Tribolium castaneum: one gene and its partner. The protein of the gene in region 2 binds, or shares a complex with, the protein of the main gene of each other region. Links are inferred from orthologs where the notes say so. Each region holds a gene or a part of one and is shown on either strand. Other genes may lie near its edges.

Region 1 (6,500 bases), on a different chromosome or scaffold from region 2:
TGTACTTTTGTCTTGCTTTAACAGTTAAGTCCGTATTCCCACTTGATTTCTCAAAAATTTACATTTTTTGTAATAAAACAGGATTCACTAGTCAACTTACTCTGATCGTTCTATTTAAAAAAGTAACAGCTTAGTTCTCTTATATCTCTTACGATATAATACTACTTTTTTTTTGTAAAATTAATTATTTCGTAAGGACTAATCTGGCGTCAAAAGAGTCAAGATTAATTTAAGTGTATTGTTCTCGGACCACTAATAAATAATAATAATAACAATAATAGTACTATGTGTCCAGTGATATTAAATCTAAAAGTTTACTTAAAATCCCATGTGACATAAGATTTATTTTATCTTATTAACTTTAAATTTGTTGCTTTCTCATGGTTAATAATTAGTCAAACTAGAGTTTAACAAGTAGTCATGAAATAACTGTATTTTGTATTAATGTTCTAGTGATGTATAACACACTTGTTGATTATACACACTATGCACTGAAAAAAATCGGCATTTAAAAATTACGATTAGATCATAAGACTAATATCATCGAAACTAATAAATAAATATTTGTCTGACAAAGGAGTCTATTTTAATCGCACGTCCGTACGTAAGAATCACGACTCAATTTGATCTGATTTTCTCTGTTTGAATCAGTTTCCAAATGATTTTACGTTACATCACACTTACAGTGCTGTCCATTATGAAATTTGTTCTGTACAGGTTTATTGTTTGAATAATAAATAAATACAAAAATTATCATTTTTGTTTCTTTTAACACAAATAACCGCACTCGAACCTCAAGGAAGGATAGTTAGTTTGTGCTTCACAGTTTACAATTAACTCAGCTGTCACAAGCTAAATCACAGTATCTTCTTTTTATTTAATTTTTAACTAGACCCAAAATTAACTTATTTAACCAGCCTCTTTGAATGACTTACTCATAGTTATTGCTGTTATTAGTTTAGAGAGTGTATGCTGTTTTTCCATTTAAACCGTTATTCTTACACCAATCTAATTTTACAATGGCAATCAATTGGATTTTCAAGCGTGAAATTTTTCTAAGTAAATTTGTCTTTCATTCAAAACGTTACTATTTCGCAAAAAATTAACCAAATTAAAGGTAAAAGTTTAAAATTGAATACAGGATGATCCAGCCCAGTTCCCGTCTCCTGTAGCTCAGTTATTATTAAAGTTGGAGTTTTGATATTTTGTAGATATTACTTATTTATACTCTAGGACACATTTCAGGAAAATATATTAACTATATAGTGTCCTCAAAAAGTATGACATCATAATAATAATTTTTTTATGGCATCCTATTATTTTTTGTGCTCATTATGATATTTTTTTAGCTTCTTACATGTCTCTATTTTTTTCAAATCGGTTAGGAGATTACTGTTAAAAAAATACAAATTAAAAAAACACGGTTTTACACCTTTAGTTTTAAAAATCATTAAAAAATAGAAACAACTTTAATAGTAACTGAGCTGCAGAAGACGGGTGCTGGGCTGGACCACCCCTGTATATCTTAAAAAATCAAAACCTAGAAAAATATGAAGCTGGAAATCTTGAAAAACTATAACTAAAAATGAAATTTATACATATTATCCAATTTATGATGATAGTAAGATTTTTTGGTTTTGGTTAGAAAAATTATTGTCTTTACACACACGAGTTTCTAAAATTTCGTGATTTTGAAGTGGATGGTTTTTAATTTTTCAGTTATTTATACAATCTTTTTTATTCCACAGATTTTTTTACAGTTTCAGCAAATAGTCGACTTTTACGTGAAACACGCAAACCATGTACAGGGTGTGCCAAAACGCAAAAAGTTGAATAACTCTTTTTTTTCAAATGGAAGGATTTGCATAGCAAATTTAAAACGTTTTTCGAGATTTTTCAAAAAAATATTTTATTACAAGGAAATTTGTTATTCTACAATGTGATAAGTCAAATTGTAATTTATTTTTTGACATGTACCAATGTGACTATTTACATTAATAATTTAATTATTACTTGAAACATAAATGAAATGAAGAAAAAAAATAAGAGATATTTCTAATTTGTTGTACAAATCGCATATCATTGGATAGTGTAAAGAAATAGATAGTGTTCCATTTGAAAAAAAAAATGTTATTCAACTTTTTGCGTTCTGGCACACCATGTACATTACCTGCGTGTTTCAAGTAAAAGTCGACTATTATTAAAATTACGGGATATTCTGACTTATTCTGTTGCAAATTTATCGGAAAATATTCATAAGCGACTTCGCAGTGATTTTTCTAAAGATGGTCTTTTTCATAACGAGAAGTTGAATAATTTTAAAACGAAAAGAGATAAACCCATAATAGTTTATTTAAAGTTACATTACTTTTTGCATAGAATATAATTATGTGAAAATGTATGGGGTGTTTCATTTCAAAAAATATAACTCTAGTAAACCAGGATGTATACAACACCCTGTGTATAATAAAAAAAAGATAGTTTGTGGACTTTAAGTCTATCTATAGAATAATGAAAACGAAAACATGGCAAAATTTCAAGTAACAAAAAAGTTACAGACCGCACCCCTGAGTCACCCTGTATCTTTTAAAAAAATCACCAACAATTATTGTCTTATGGTGTTACAAACACTTAAATTAGCAAATTATACAATAAATAATTTAATATTAATCATATTAATATTATTAATCACTGGAAACAAAACAACAATTAAAATGGTTGCTAAAGAAAACAAATACAAGAATGATAAAAAAATCAAGTTGCTTGGGAAAAGATCTGACTTCATTTCTAAACTTTACTGGACATCCCTTATCACCATATCGACACTTTCTTGACCCTCTAGACATGGTTGAATTAACAAAGATAATGCAATTTTTTTGAATAACTTTATAAAAATAAACAAAAAAGTTACCGTGAACTCGTGAAGTAGGAAAAACTAAATAGGATGTTGCAAAAATGCTGGTTTATGAAAGACAAGGCATAATAGTAAAATTTATTCAAAAACGCGCCTTTTTACATGCCATAAAATTAAACTTACACCTACACTTACTTAACAGACTTACTACTACAGATTACTTCTCTAAAGGAGCATAATTCAATAACTTTTCAATAAGATCGACGTGTCCAAGAAGCATTCTTCTGCAACAGTACCTCTTCAAACCCAAAGCATCCAAAGCATCTCCTTCCGTATATTCAGCTTGCAAAAGCCCAAGATAAGCCTCCCATTTATTTCCAATAACTTTCCCACAAGTAAAACAACGAACCGGTATAATCATCTTGTCTCGACAAAACCTGAAAAAATATAACCTAATTTTTCACTGACACATCAAAAATTAACCAAATTCTGTACCTCACACTCTCGCTTAATCAAAATTTGTTGCGTTGGTATTTAGACTTTAAATTAGATTACTTTCAAAAAGCTTTAACTGCGCTTTTCTAGAAGCTTTTTGATTTCTAATTTCGTGAATTTCTGGGTTCTTCACTTCTGGAATATTGGTGCTCCTGATCAATTGAAGCTTGTGGCCTGCCATCTGTCGACGGCAATAACAAATAAGGATTAATTTCTTGATTAAATTATTAAAAAATCGCAGAAAACATGTGAAAGTTATATTGAAAACAAAGCCTAATTTTTTGTATTAATTTACCGCGTTGTTTCAAGCACGTTTTGTCAACGTGAAGTGGTAAATTTCTACAAATGTTTCAAGCGGAAGTGTGAAGTTTGAACAGCTAAAGCCGACTTTGACTAACCGCGTAGTCACTTCCGGCGAGCAGTTACCGCTACTTTGCAAGCAAGCCGGCCATTATTTGTTAGCGGCAAGCTGCGTGTCTGTTGATAAAACGGTTAAAAGTGCACCAAATTCCACTAAAACCGTTTACATTTGTGCATCAACTTCGGCCCCAGACCCTCCTACAAGCCACAACCAAATTTGCCAAATATGGGTGACGAAAAGAAGGTAAACATGACTTTTCTTTCCTAACCATAAACGAGGTTTTTTTCCCGTAATTTTGAACTGATACTCACGTTTTTGGGACTTTGCAGAGCAATGAAACGGAACATATCAACTTGAAAGTACTGGGACAAGATAATGCTGTCGTCCAGTTCAAGATCAAAAAGCACACCCCTCTCAGGAAGCTGATGGGGGCTTATTGTGAAAGAGCGGTAAGTGTTACACTTTATCTCAGATTCTTTAGTTTATTACTGGGACAAATGAGTAAGAACATGGATTGTGATTCATACTTGTGTTTACTAAAATGTATCAAAAGCCGCATCCTTTCTCCAAGTCTTTAATGTGCCATGATTTGCATTTTTTTCATGTTTGGACGTCTGAAACCGCCACATTTGTTGCAACTCAACTTCTTAAATGTCTAAACCAGGATTTGTTAATGTTTGTTCACTCCTGTGCGTAGTGATTGGTTGTATTCGGAAATAAAATTAACTAGACGCCCTCTGGTGACGACTTTTGAACTATGTCGAAAACAGTAACGAAATTTTCGTAATTCAATATTTAATTTAATTTTTTAATTTAACAATTTTGCGTGTGTAGTGTTAATTACTTACAGTAGAGAGAATCACTTTAAGGTAGTTGGGGCCTTACAATCGGAGCAAAAAGTTAGGCCAAAAGAATATATGGTGCCACAGTGTATAGTATCCACAGTAACCAACCCAAAAATTTTTACTGTGAATGTACTGCCCTGGCCAGTCATAACTCATTTGTGGAATGTGACAACACTGTCGGAGTTTCGATTGAAAATGTCAAATGTGTCAAATAATTACATCACAAAGGAAGAATTATTAGGCTAAAACCATCGATAAACGATGAAAAGCTACAGCGGTTTTACTGTAAACGCGTCCTATTTTCGAAATTTAACCGAAAAAAACCGTAATTACATCTTCTAGGTGGCCCCTGTGGCACGCTCACCTCGTAGGAACAGCCATTTTTAATCTATTTACTTCCTAACTATCCCGAACATAGCTCCAAAGTCAAAAATTCTGTGTCGGGATATTTGTTTTGTTTGTTAACTGATTCAAAATTCATTTTTAGCGGTTTTACAGATGCGCTGTGTTGCCAGTTCTATTTTAGTGTAACCCTTTTACTACAAATTTCTTATCGTTTATTAATTAATATCTCCAAAATTTGGACGGTGACCCCCAGTTTTTTTCCCCTTAAAATACTTATTTGATGTTGCTGAATGATGATTTAGTTTTTAAAAAAAATCTTAAGAAGGGTTTGATAGCTATACCAAAAAACGTACAAAAAAATTTTGATTCACCATATGCCGCAATGTAAAAGAGTCAAAAACTCAATTTTCAAAATTCAATGTCTCCGAAACTAGACGGTCAATCTTTTTCATTTTTGCACCATCGATATGGAATTCTTTGAACAATAATCTGTTAAAATTTAAAAGAAATCTTAAGAATGTTAATTTAGGCACCAACTACCTTAAAAGTACGTGGTGGTAAATACTAGCTTTGACTTTGGTTCTGCGGTTTTTCGTGGTATAAAGTGTTTATTCTTGGAATTTGAAAGTGGATAAAAAGTGAAAAAGATTTAAATTTTGATTACAAATTAAAGTTGTCAAATTAAAGACCATAAGTAATGGATACAGCGAACACAAAGTTGGGCTCAGGAAACCAATAAATTAGTGAAGTGTGTGAATTTTAGATTAGAATTTTTCCACAGGAAAAATCATGAAATACATTGGTAAATTTACAAAACTACAATTAAGATTAAAAACTGCTGAGACATTTAAATGTAAATTATGTCAAAAGGTAGGCTTTTCGATGCCTTTGTAATAATTTTCCAATAAAAAAGTGAACCAAGCAGTCATTCGTTATTCGTGTTTTCCTCATCATCTCTAATTTGTCAACATTCGTTTCTTGCACCAAAGATACAATAGTCATCCCGTATAGACAATGAAATAATTGTGAAGTTTCAAAATTCGTACAACGCTCAAAATATTCGAATAAAAAATTTCCCGCCATTTATGGTTAATGCTTTCGACCTAGCTCAGTGGCACCCCCAACGGTAATTTTACTTCCGAATAACTAGAGTAAGTTAAGTAACGCATAAAATTCATATTTTTGTTGGGAGTCATTTTCAAACAAAATTTCAAAAAACATCCTCGAACATGTCGATTTTATATTTGTAAATGTTACATCATAGTCACATTTGTGACATCACTGGTTTCTGAGTAATGACGTCATTTTTAATTATTTTAAATGGAAATCGACATTTTTGTTCATTGTTTTCAATAGTTTTAGCTGTTTCAAAACTATAATAACGCCAACGTTACATTTTCCTGAATTATTTTTTTTAAATAAGATTGATAAAATTGTGAAATAGTTATTAATGATTAGATCTCTCATTGAAAATATAAATCACATTAGCTATTATTTTTTTGAAGTACATGAATATTTTATAACTGCTAATTTTGAAAGAAAGTGCGATGTTGGCGTTTTTATAGAACGTGTATCAGAACTCACTCCCCAGAGAAAAGGG
Region 2 (7,882 bases):
TTTTAAGACGACAAAAGTAAGGCAACATTTAGATTTTTTTCAAAAAATGTTGTTATAATGAAAAATTTGTTAGGCCAATATTAACAGTTCGTTTTGTGCAACAAGAGCCATGCCAACGTATACCAATTGGTAAAGAGTTGAAAGAAAGAGTGATAGATGCTTTCTTAAACAATGAAAAACAAGCGGATATTGCAAGAAGATTTCAACTGCCTAGATACAGCGTGTCTAAAATAATTATTCGCTACAACGAAAGAGGACATTTAAACAATAATCCAAAATCGGGAAGACCACGAAAAACCACTATAAACATGGACAGACGCATTAAAAGAATTTCGGAAAACGATCCATGGAAATCTGCATCTAAAATTATAGCGGAAATACCGGAAGTAGGAGTTAGTACACGAACAATTCAAAGAAGACTGGTTGCAGCAAAGCTTTTTAGTAGACGTCGTGCTAAAAAACCTTTGATTTCCGAAAGAAATAGACGCGCCAGACTTCTATTTGCAAGAGAACATTTGAATTGGACAATGCAAGATTGGAGGAAAGTTCTGTTTAGTGACGAAACTCGATACAAATTATTTAATTCGGATGGAATGAAACGTGTAAGACGGCCAATCAATACATGATTCAACCCCAAGTATGTTACACCCACTGTTAAACATGGTCATGGTAGCGTTTTTCTGTGGGGGTGTTTTTCGTGGAATGGTGTGGGTCCGTTGAGCTTTATTGAGGGTAATATGGATCGGTTCATGTATAGGGACATACTCCAAGATGTAATGCTGCCGTATGTAGAATGGGAAATGCCTCTTCGTTTTATCTTTCAACAAGATAACGACCCCAAACACACTTCTGCATTGGTCAGTGAGTGGATCCAAAATAATAATATTCATGTTTTGCAATGGCCTGCCCAATCACCAGACCTCAACCCAATTGAGAACTTATGGGAAGAGGTAGAGCGACGAATCCGGATACAAAGATTTCCTAACAAGCAATCTTTGATAGATAAAATCAAGGAAGTGTGGTCAAATCTGGATGGCAATGTTATTCAAAAATTAATTTCTTCAATGCCCAGACGGTGCCAAAAAATTATACTTAATAACGGCTATGCCATAAATTATTGAATTTTTCGTTCTATTTATTTAAATTTTAGTGTTGGGTAGTGTTATGGAAATGTTGAATAAAATAAAATTTGAGTTGAAAATATTTTCTGACAATGTTGCCTTACTTTTGTCACATTAATATCGGGCATTTTTATATTTCAAGCTAGTAGTATGTCATAATAATTACCCACAGGCTATCCATTTTCAACACGAATAAGAATATCTTTAAACATTTATTATAAAATTAAATTGAAAGTAAATACCAACTCTTAAAATTTAAAATACCAATATGTGTATATTTTTCAACATTTTGCCTTACTTTTGTCCGATAGTGTATATAATATGTATATAATAATATATAATACATAAATAAATAAAAAATTAAAATAAAATAAAAATAAATATACAGGGTGTCCCACCGAAAAGGGCACCCCCCTCATAACTTTTTTATTTATTAATTAATTTAAACAAAATTTAAATTACACCTTTTAGAACCAAAGGTCCACATTTTAGCGCTACAAGTTTTTTTTTGAACGTATCATTTATGAAATAATTAATTTAAAATTAAGAAAAAAAATTGGAAAATTGTTTAACTGCATATTATTAAAAGAAGCAAGTTTTCATTAACGTATTAGCAAACATCGTTTTACCAGAAGTAATGCAGATTCTTTAAAACCTTTTTTTTAAAATCGCAATGTCACTTTGACATAAAAATGTCGAAAGATATTCAATTCCTTTATTATTCAGATATATATTCCTTCAAGATTATATAAATAATCTAAAAACTATTAAATTTAAATTTTACTTTAGACACTTTATTTACAATTTGCGACATAGAAAAACAGTATACTTCGTTATTTTGCTACCATGTTTGGTATTGAAAAGAATTCTATAAACCTTGGATACTTTTACGGTGAACAATGATCATTTTGCGTTATACACAAAAATACTTTGGATATTTTTATGTTGGATGAAATTACGTTTTTGACTTTTTTACGGTGGACAGAAGTATTGTAGCAACGTTTTCTTTGTACACCATGAAGTTTAACAACAGATAATGGTGTTTAAGATCAGCGAGCCTCACAATAAGATGTTTTGACAAGGGCGACCCGAAAATATTTACGATATCGATCGGTTCGTTGAAAGATTGCAACCTGTCTGCAATAAATCACACAATAAGCTTGCCTGAATAATTAATTAGCTTGAAAGGTCCTTGTGGTTTGGGCTAATCATAATAAAAATCATTTTACTTTGGACAGAAATACTTTGGACTTTTTTACTTTGGACATAATTGGCTCTCCCGTTTTTTAATGAGTTTTCTATTATAAATACTAAATTGAAGAGGTCTCCATTTTTTAATGAAATGGAAAAACTACTTAACTGGTTAGGTATTTTGCTTACAAGGGCAAAAATAATAAAAAAATCTCATCAAGTCCAATTGTTAGGGACAAATCTTCTTTTGAAGGTTTTTGGTTTTATATCTGTTCTTATTTCTTCACATTACATAATTATGTATTCTGTAAAACAGTAAAAAATCTAAGTACAACACATTTCTTCTACTTTTAAAGAATGCATTAAATTTAATTTTGACTTGCATACTTTTGCTGAAAACACAAAAAAAAATAATACGTAATAACGAGTATGTAGTACGCTATTAAATATTTAGCGAATTTTTTCATAGCTCTTTTAAAATAATTTTTAATTATACATCAATGTGCATTTTACACTTTGTATTTTTGTTATTATTAATGTTCTGATTTTGAATTTTTTGAAGTTAGTCACTTGCACTTTGCGTATATTTTAATTACAAAAATCGTAGTTGCCAACAAATTTATTTTTTTTGCTGCCACCTACAAAAACAAAATTAAAATTGATTTTTTTTATTTATTTTTCTATTGTTGTTACACTTTTATTTAGTTCTTAAAACGCTTATTTTACAGGTTTTTATCTTTAGAGTTTTTGTTTATAAGCTTCAAATAACTGTTTTGTTGTAGCTGTCGAATCATTATTATACATTAATTTGCTTCTCTTATTTGCATTTTTTATGTGGCAATGTAATTGTCTTCTTGTGTTTATTTTTATTTTTTTAAATTACCAAATAATTATTCTATTGCTGGCTGATTAGTGATTACTGATCACACCATTTTGCAGTAATTTTTTTTAATTTGGATTAGAGAAAAAGATATAACAGCTACAAGGGAGAGAACAGTAAAAGATGCTCAATAATTTAAAGAATTTTGAATTAAAGTCAAACTTTTTCAGTCTGCGGATTATTTTTTCTTTCACAAACAATTCAGATAGGGATAAAAAGGGTAGATAATCGAAAAGACAATTCATTTATCATCGATTTTTTTTATTTGTGAGCTAGATAAATCATTTGAAATTGGTTGAAATAGTTGGTACAAATTAAATGCACAGTATTTTATTTGAACGATTTATTTTATTTACTGTGCATTTATTATTTTTACTGTGCATTTATTATTTTTTACTGATCAAAATCGAATTTATTACTGATCGCTTTATTTAATTTAATTTAATTTAATTTGTCGATTTTTTAAATTCTTTTAGTTTTTGGTTCATGAATGAGCTAAAATTTCCAGAATTGGCTGAAACCACTGAGTATATGGTGAAACAAAGAAGCAAATAAAGAATAAATATTTGCATATTAAAAACATTGTTTTTTATTTTGTTATACTTTTCTGTTTCTTATTCTTTTTTCTATGTTTACGTTATTATATCTTATTTTCAAAAACTAGTCGGTTTGTTTCGACAAGATCTGTTGGAAGTTATTTTCTGGTGAAAAAAGAGAATTTACTAAAACATTTTTCGGACCTGCTTTCGGGACTTTTTTAGTTTATTTCAGTGCCTAACTAGCCTGAATTTTAAGAGCAATGAAATAAAAAAAATGATCTATTCAAATAATGGTAAGCACAAGGTAAAAAAATACAGAATCGGCATTTTCAATAGTAATTCGAGACAAAAGTACAAAAATTTTAGTGACAATAAAAAAAAATATGGACGTATCCGAATTGCACACCATGGTGAGAAAAACAGGAACCTCTTGACCAGTTGTCCCTTATCGGTAACCGAGCGGTGCATCAAAATTTTATAATTTTATTTATTGAAGGAATAATAAAAAAAATCAGTATATTATCTATCAAACATTATAGGGTAAGTTCGAATAAGATAGATTACATACAAAAGATTGCAATTTGTTTTTCATTTGGTTATTCAAAAAAACTTTTTTCTTTACTGCTCGTTAACTGAATTTTTACATTATGTCGTAACTTAAAAATTTAGTAAATTATTTACAAATGTGAAAATATTCACAAGGAGAGACACTTCCTATCCTTACCTGTGTTTGATTTTGTTGAAAATTGACGGTGGTATTCAACGAAAAAAAAAAACTTTTATCAAAAACTGTTTAGTTCTAATTTTCATTGGGTAAAAAAAGTGTAAAGAGTAAAGTTGTGAAGAATCAAATTTTCTGCTAAAAACTGGAGACCCTATCTCTATTCTCAGCTGTTTTGGTGCTATCCTGTCATTCAGCCACCAGTAAAAAAAATAATTTTTGTTTTAACGTATTTATTAAAAACCGAAGTGTTTTGCAATTTTTCGTGTTTTTTTTAGGTGTTACGACCCACATGGAGCTCTCCAAACTGGCCTTCCTCTCAAACCTAGCCCAACTAATCCCCATGCCCGACTGCAACCAATCACCCCGTAACATGTACCAGTGCCAGATGGGCAAACAAACAATGGGCACTCCTTGCCACAACTGGCGTTCCCAATCCGAAACCAAACTCTACCGCCTCCAAACACCGGCGACTCCCCTTTTCCGACCCGTCCACTACGACAACATCAACCTTGACGACTTCGCCATGGGCACAAACGCCATTGTTGCCGTTATCAGCTACACTGTAAACCCATTAACTTCGGAAAAATCCCCAATTGAACCATCTGTTCCCAGGGCTATGACATGGAAGACGCAATGATAATAAACAAAGCCGCGGACGAGCGTGGTTTTGCCCACGGTTCCATTTACAAAACCGAATTTGTAACACTTGAACACGAGTCTTCGTATTTTTGCCGAAACCCGGAAAAACCGGAACTGGCCGAATTCTTAGACACGGACGGCTTGCCAATCATCGGACGCCGAATGAAAGATGGGGATCCCCTGTACTGTTACTACAGTGTGGACGAGTCGGTGTACAAAGTAACCAAGTTTTCGGGGAAAGAGGAGTGTTTTGTCGACATGGTTAAACTGTGCGCCAGTTTTGAAACGACCAATCGGACGGCGTGTTTCACGTTCAGAGTCCCGGTACTTCCCCCACATTTTTTTTTATTGAGTTCTTGGTAATTATTTTAATTGTAGCGTAACCCGAACGTTGGCGATAAATTCGCAAGTCGGGCAGGACAAAAGGGCATTTGTTCGCAAAAGTGGCCCATGGAGGACTTACCTTTTACGGAGACAGGGCTTGTGCCTGATATTGTCTTCAACCCTCATGGGTTTCCCTCTCGTATGACCATCGCTATGATGATTGAGGTCATGGCTGGGAAATCGGCAGCGCTTCATGGGCTAGTACATGATGCAACTCCCTTTAAATTTACAGAAGAAGACACTGCGATTGATTATTTTGGTCGGTTGTTGGAAGCAGGGGGTTATAATTATTACGGGACTGAGACCATGTATTCGGGGATTGATGGTAGGGAAATGACAGCGCAAATATTTTTCGGGATCGTTCACTACCAGCGCTTGAGACACATGGTTTCGGATAAGTGGCAGGTGATTAAAAAAAAAGTCGGATCACTTTTGTAATATTGGGATATTGGAGATTTTCATTCTGTTGTATTCGGACCAAGTTATGTTACTAAATTTGACAGTTGGCAATGCTTTTACTACTGTCATGAAAATTTGAAGTTTGTCTTTGACATTGTCAAAATTAACGAATTTAAAAGAATTAAGCGTGCAGCAACGAACTAGCCCCCTATTGCTGTTTGTGTAACCCCATCAAATTGGCTGGGGGGCCACCAAGACACTCAGCAACCACTGACAAAGGTTATTTTCAATATTATGACGAGAGAGATTAAATCAATCTGCGGCTCACAAAAAACAATAACTAATTATTTGTCTAAAATAACTTGTAAAGTAGGTTTTACCGGCCTTCTTTTTTGTCCGTTCATATTTTCAATACACAAGTTTATTTGGTGTATTTGATTAGTTGTCCATTAATTTATTTAGATTTCTTATTAAAATGTGTTATATTTGATAGTTTTTGTCATGTTTTGACTGTAAATAATATTGAGTGAAGCAGTTTTATGATTGTCTGAACGTCCCTTTTTAGCGACTTAAAGTGCAAATAATGTACTCAAATATCGGTAAAATGACTAAGCAGTGTTACTTACAAGCAGAAAACTTGACTGACTTAACGTATTTTGTAGGATTTGAACAATTTGACACTGACATATAACGTAACCTGTTTTTGAAAGCCTAAATTCGCGGTAAACTAACTTACAATGCCAAAATTTTCAAGTTTATGCGATTTTGTTTAATATTATTATTATTGTTTTATAATTTTTGTGTTGTATTTTTTATTTTTTTTTTATGGAAATTTGTAGGTGCGTTCAACTGGGCCGACCGATATTTTGACGAGACAGCCCCTCAAAGGGCGGAAACGAGGAGGGGGTGTGCGATTTGGAGAGATGGAACGTGATTCGTTGATCAGTCATGGCGCTTCGTTTTTGTTACAAGATCGCTTATTCCACTGTTCCGATAAAACAACAGTACGTACATAATTATTAATTAATACTTCTAGGTAAAAAAACGTTGCTCGAATAGTGTGAGTTTTTCACCCATCTTAGCTTCATTTTTGACAAATTTTCTCTCTTCTACTGTATGTTTTTCCGAAATTTCGCGAAATAATTGCGTTTCTGGTTGAAAATCGTGTTAAAACGTTTTTGCGCCCAGATTAGTTGGTTTAAAATGTGTTTAAATACTTGAAAAAGGTTGAAAAAACAGCATTATTGATTTAATTTGCTGGTTTTTTGTATTAGTTAAAAATTTTGCGAGATAATTACATTTCTTATTAAAACACGCCCAAAAACTCTGATATACGTTTTGATATAATTTTTACGGTTTTTTCGGTCCTATATCTCAGCGGTTCCCCACCTTTTTCACCTTTCGAACCCCTTCTAACATCCGACAGATATTGTTGAATTATTTATTACGTATTTTTTATATTTTTTGTTTTAAAATTAGGAACAGATTACAGTAAATACTTTCAGCCAATTCATTTGGAGGAATTTTAGTAAAAAAAAAATTGCGTCCAGTATTTGATTTATTTTGAAAAAATGTCACTAATGTTGGCAAAATATCCTAGATGAAAATATAGATACGAAAACACAGAAACAGGGTCAAATTCCGTTATCAGATAACAGTTTTTGATGTAGATGTGACAAAAAGTGCTTAATTAACGCTGCAATTTCCAATTTTTATTAAAAAGAAAGCAAGGAAAATGCAAAATAATTATGTGAGATAGAAAACAAATAATACGAAGGAATAAAAAAAAATGCCAATATTATTTTTAAACTTTTAAAGTCTGAAGAAGAATTTAGAACTTGCTTTAACTTCTCGCCTATTTCAGTTCAAATTACAGAAAACTGATAACCAGTCTTCATAACATATAATTGTTTCCGTCGATAAATAAGTTTATTTTTTCAGCAGAAGCGTCCTTTTTTATTAAAATTTGTGTACGAAAAGCTGATTTTTGTTCATAATATTATTA

What was found. The genes of interacting proteins can lie anywhere in the genome.
Region 1: the proteins of Polr1B (region 2) and Polr2L are in contact, whole or in part, in a cryo-EM structure (PDB 7OBA), measured with the Homo sapiens proteins. The link is inferred for Tribolium castaneum from reciprocal best matches to the Homo sapiens genes POLR1B and POLR2L. Residues at the interface, in NP_061887.2 of Homo sapiens: Leu16, Leu19, Thr20, Asp21, Pro22, Tyr24, Gly25, Pro27, Ile157, His160, Glu161, Glu162, Ala163, Phe698, Leu701, Thr702, Arg713, Gln715, Thr716, Pro717, Gln718, Ser719, Leu721, Asp733, Asn734, Pro736, Asn740, Ala741, Ile742, Asn760; in NP_066951.1 of Homo sapiens: Met1, Ile2, Pro4, Arg6, Cys7, Phe8, Thr9, Cys10, Gly11, Trp18, Tyr21, Leu22, Leu25, Gln26, Glu31, Gly32, Arg42, Tyr43, Cys44, Arg46, Arg47, Met48, Leu50, Ala51, His52, Val53, Asp54, Leu55, Glu57, Lys58.

What each region holds. Positions count from the first base shown.
Region 1 is NC_087394.1:15,047,235-15,053,734, forward strand, and holds Polr2L (RNA polymerase II subunit 10), read right to left. Parts: upstream 3,276-6,500; coding exon 3,072-3,275; downstream 1-3,071. Other genes in the region: Sumo (small ubiquitin-related modifier 3), read left to right, coding at 3,936-3,953, 4,040-4,159. UniProt on the Homo sapiens protein: DNA-dependent RNA polymerase catalyzes the transcription of DNA into RNA using the four ribonucleoside triphosphates as substrates.
Region 2 is NC_087399.1:7,559,121-7,567,002, reverse strand, and holds part of Polr1B (DNA-directed RNA polymerase I subunit RPA2), read left to right. Parts: intron 1-4,730; coding exon 4,731-5,017; intron 5,018-5,067; coding exon 5,068-5,418; intron 5,419-5,472; coding exon 5,473-5,883; intron 5,884-6,716; coding exon 6,717-6,881; intron 6,882-7,882. UniProt on the Homo sapiens protein: Catalytic core component of RNA polymerase I (Pol I), a DNA-dependent RNA polymerase which synthesizes ribosomal RNA precursors using the four ribonucleoside triphosphates as substrates.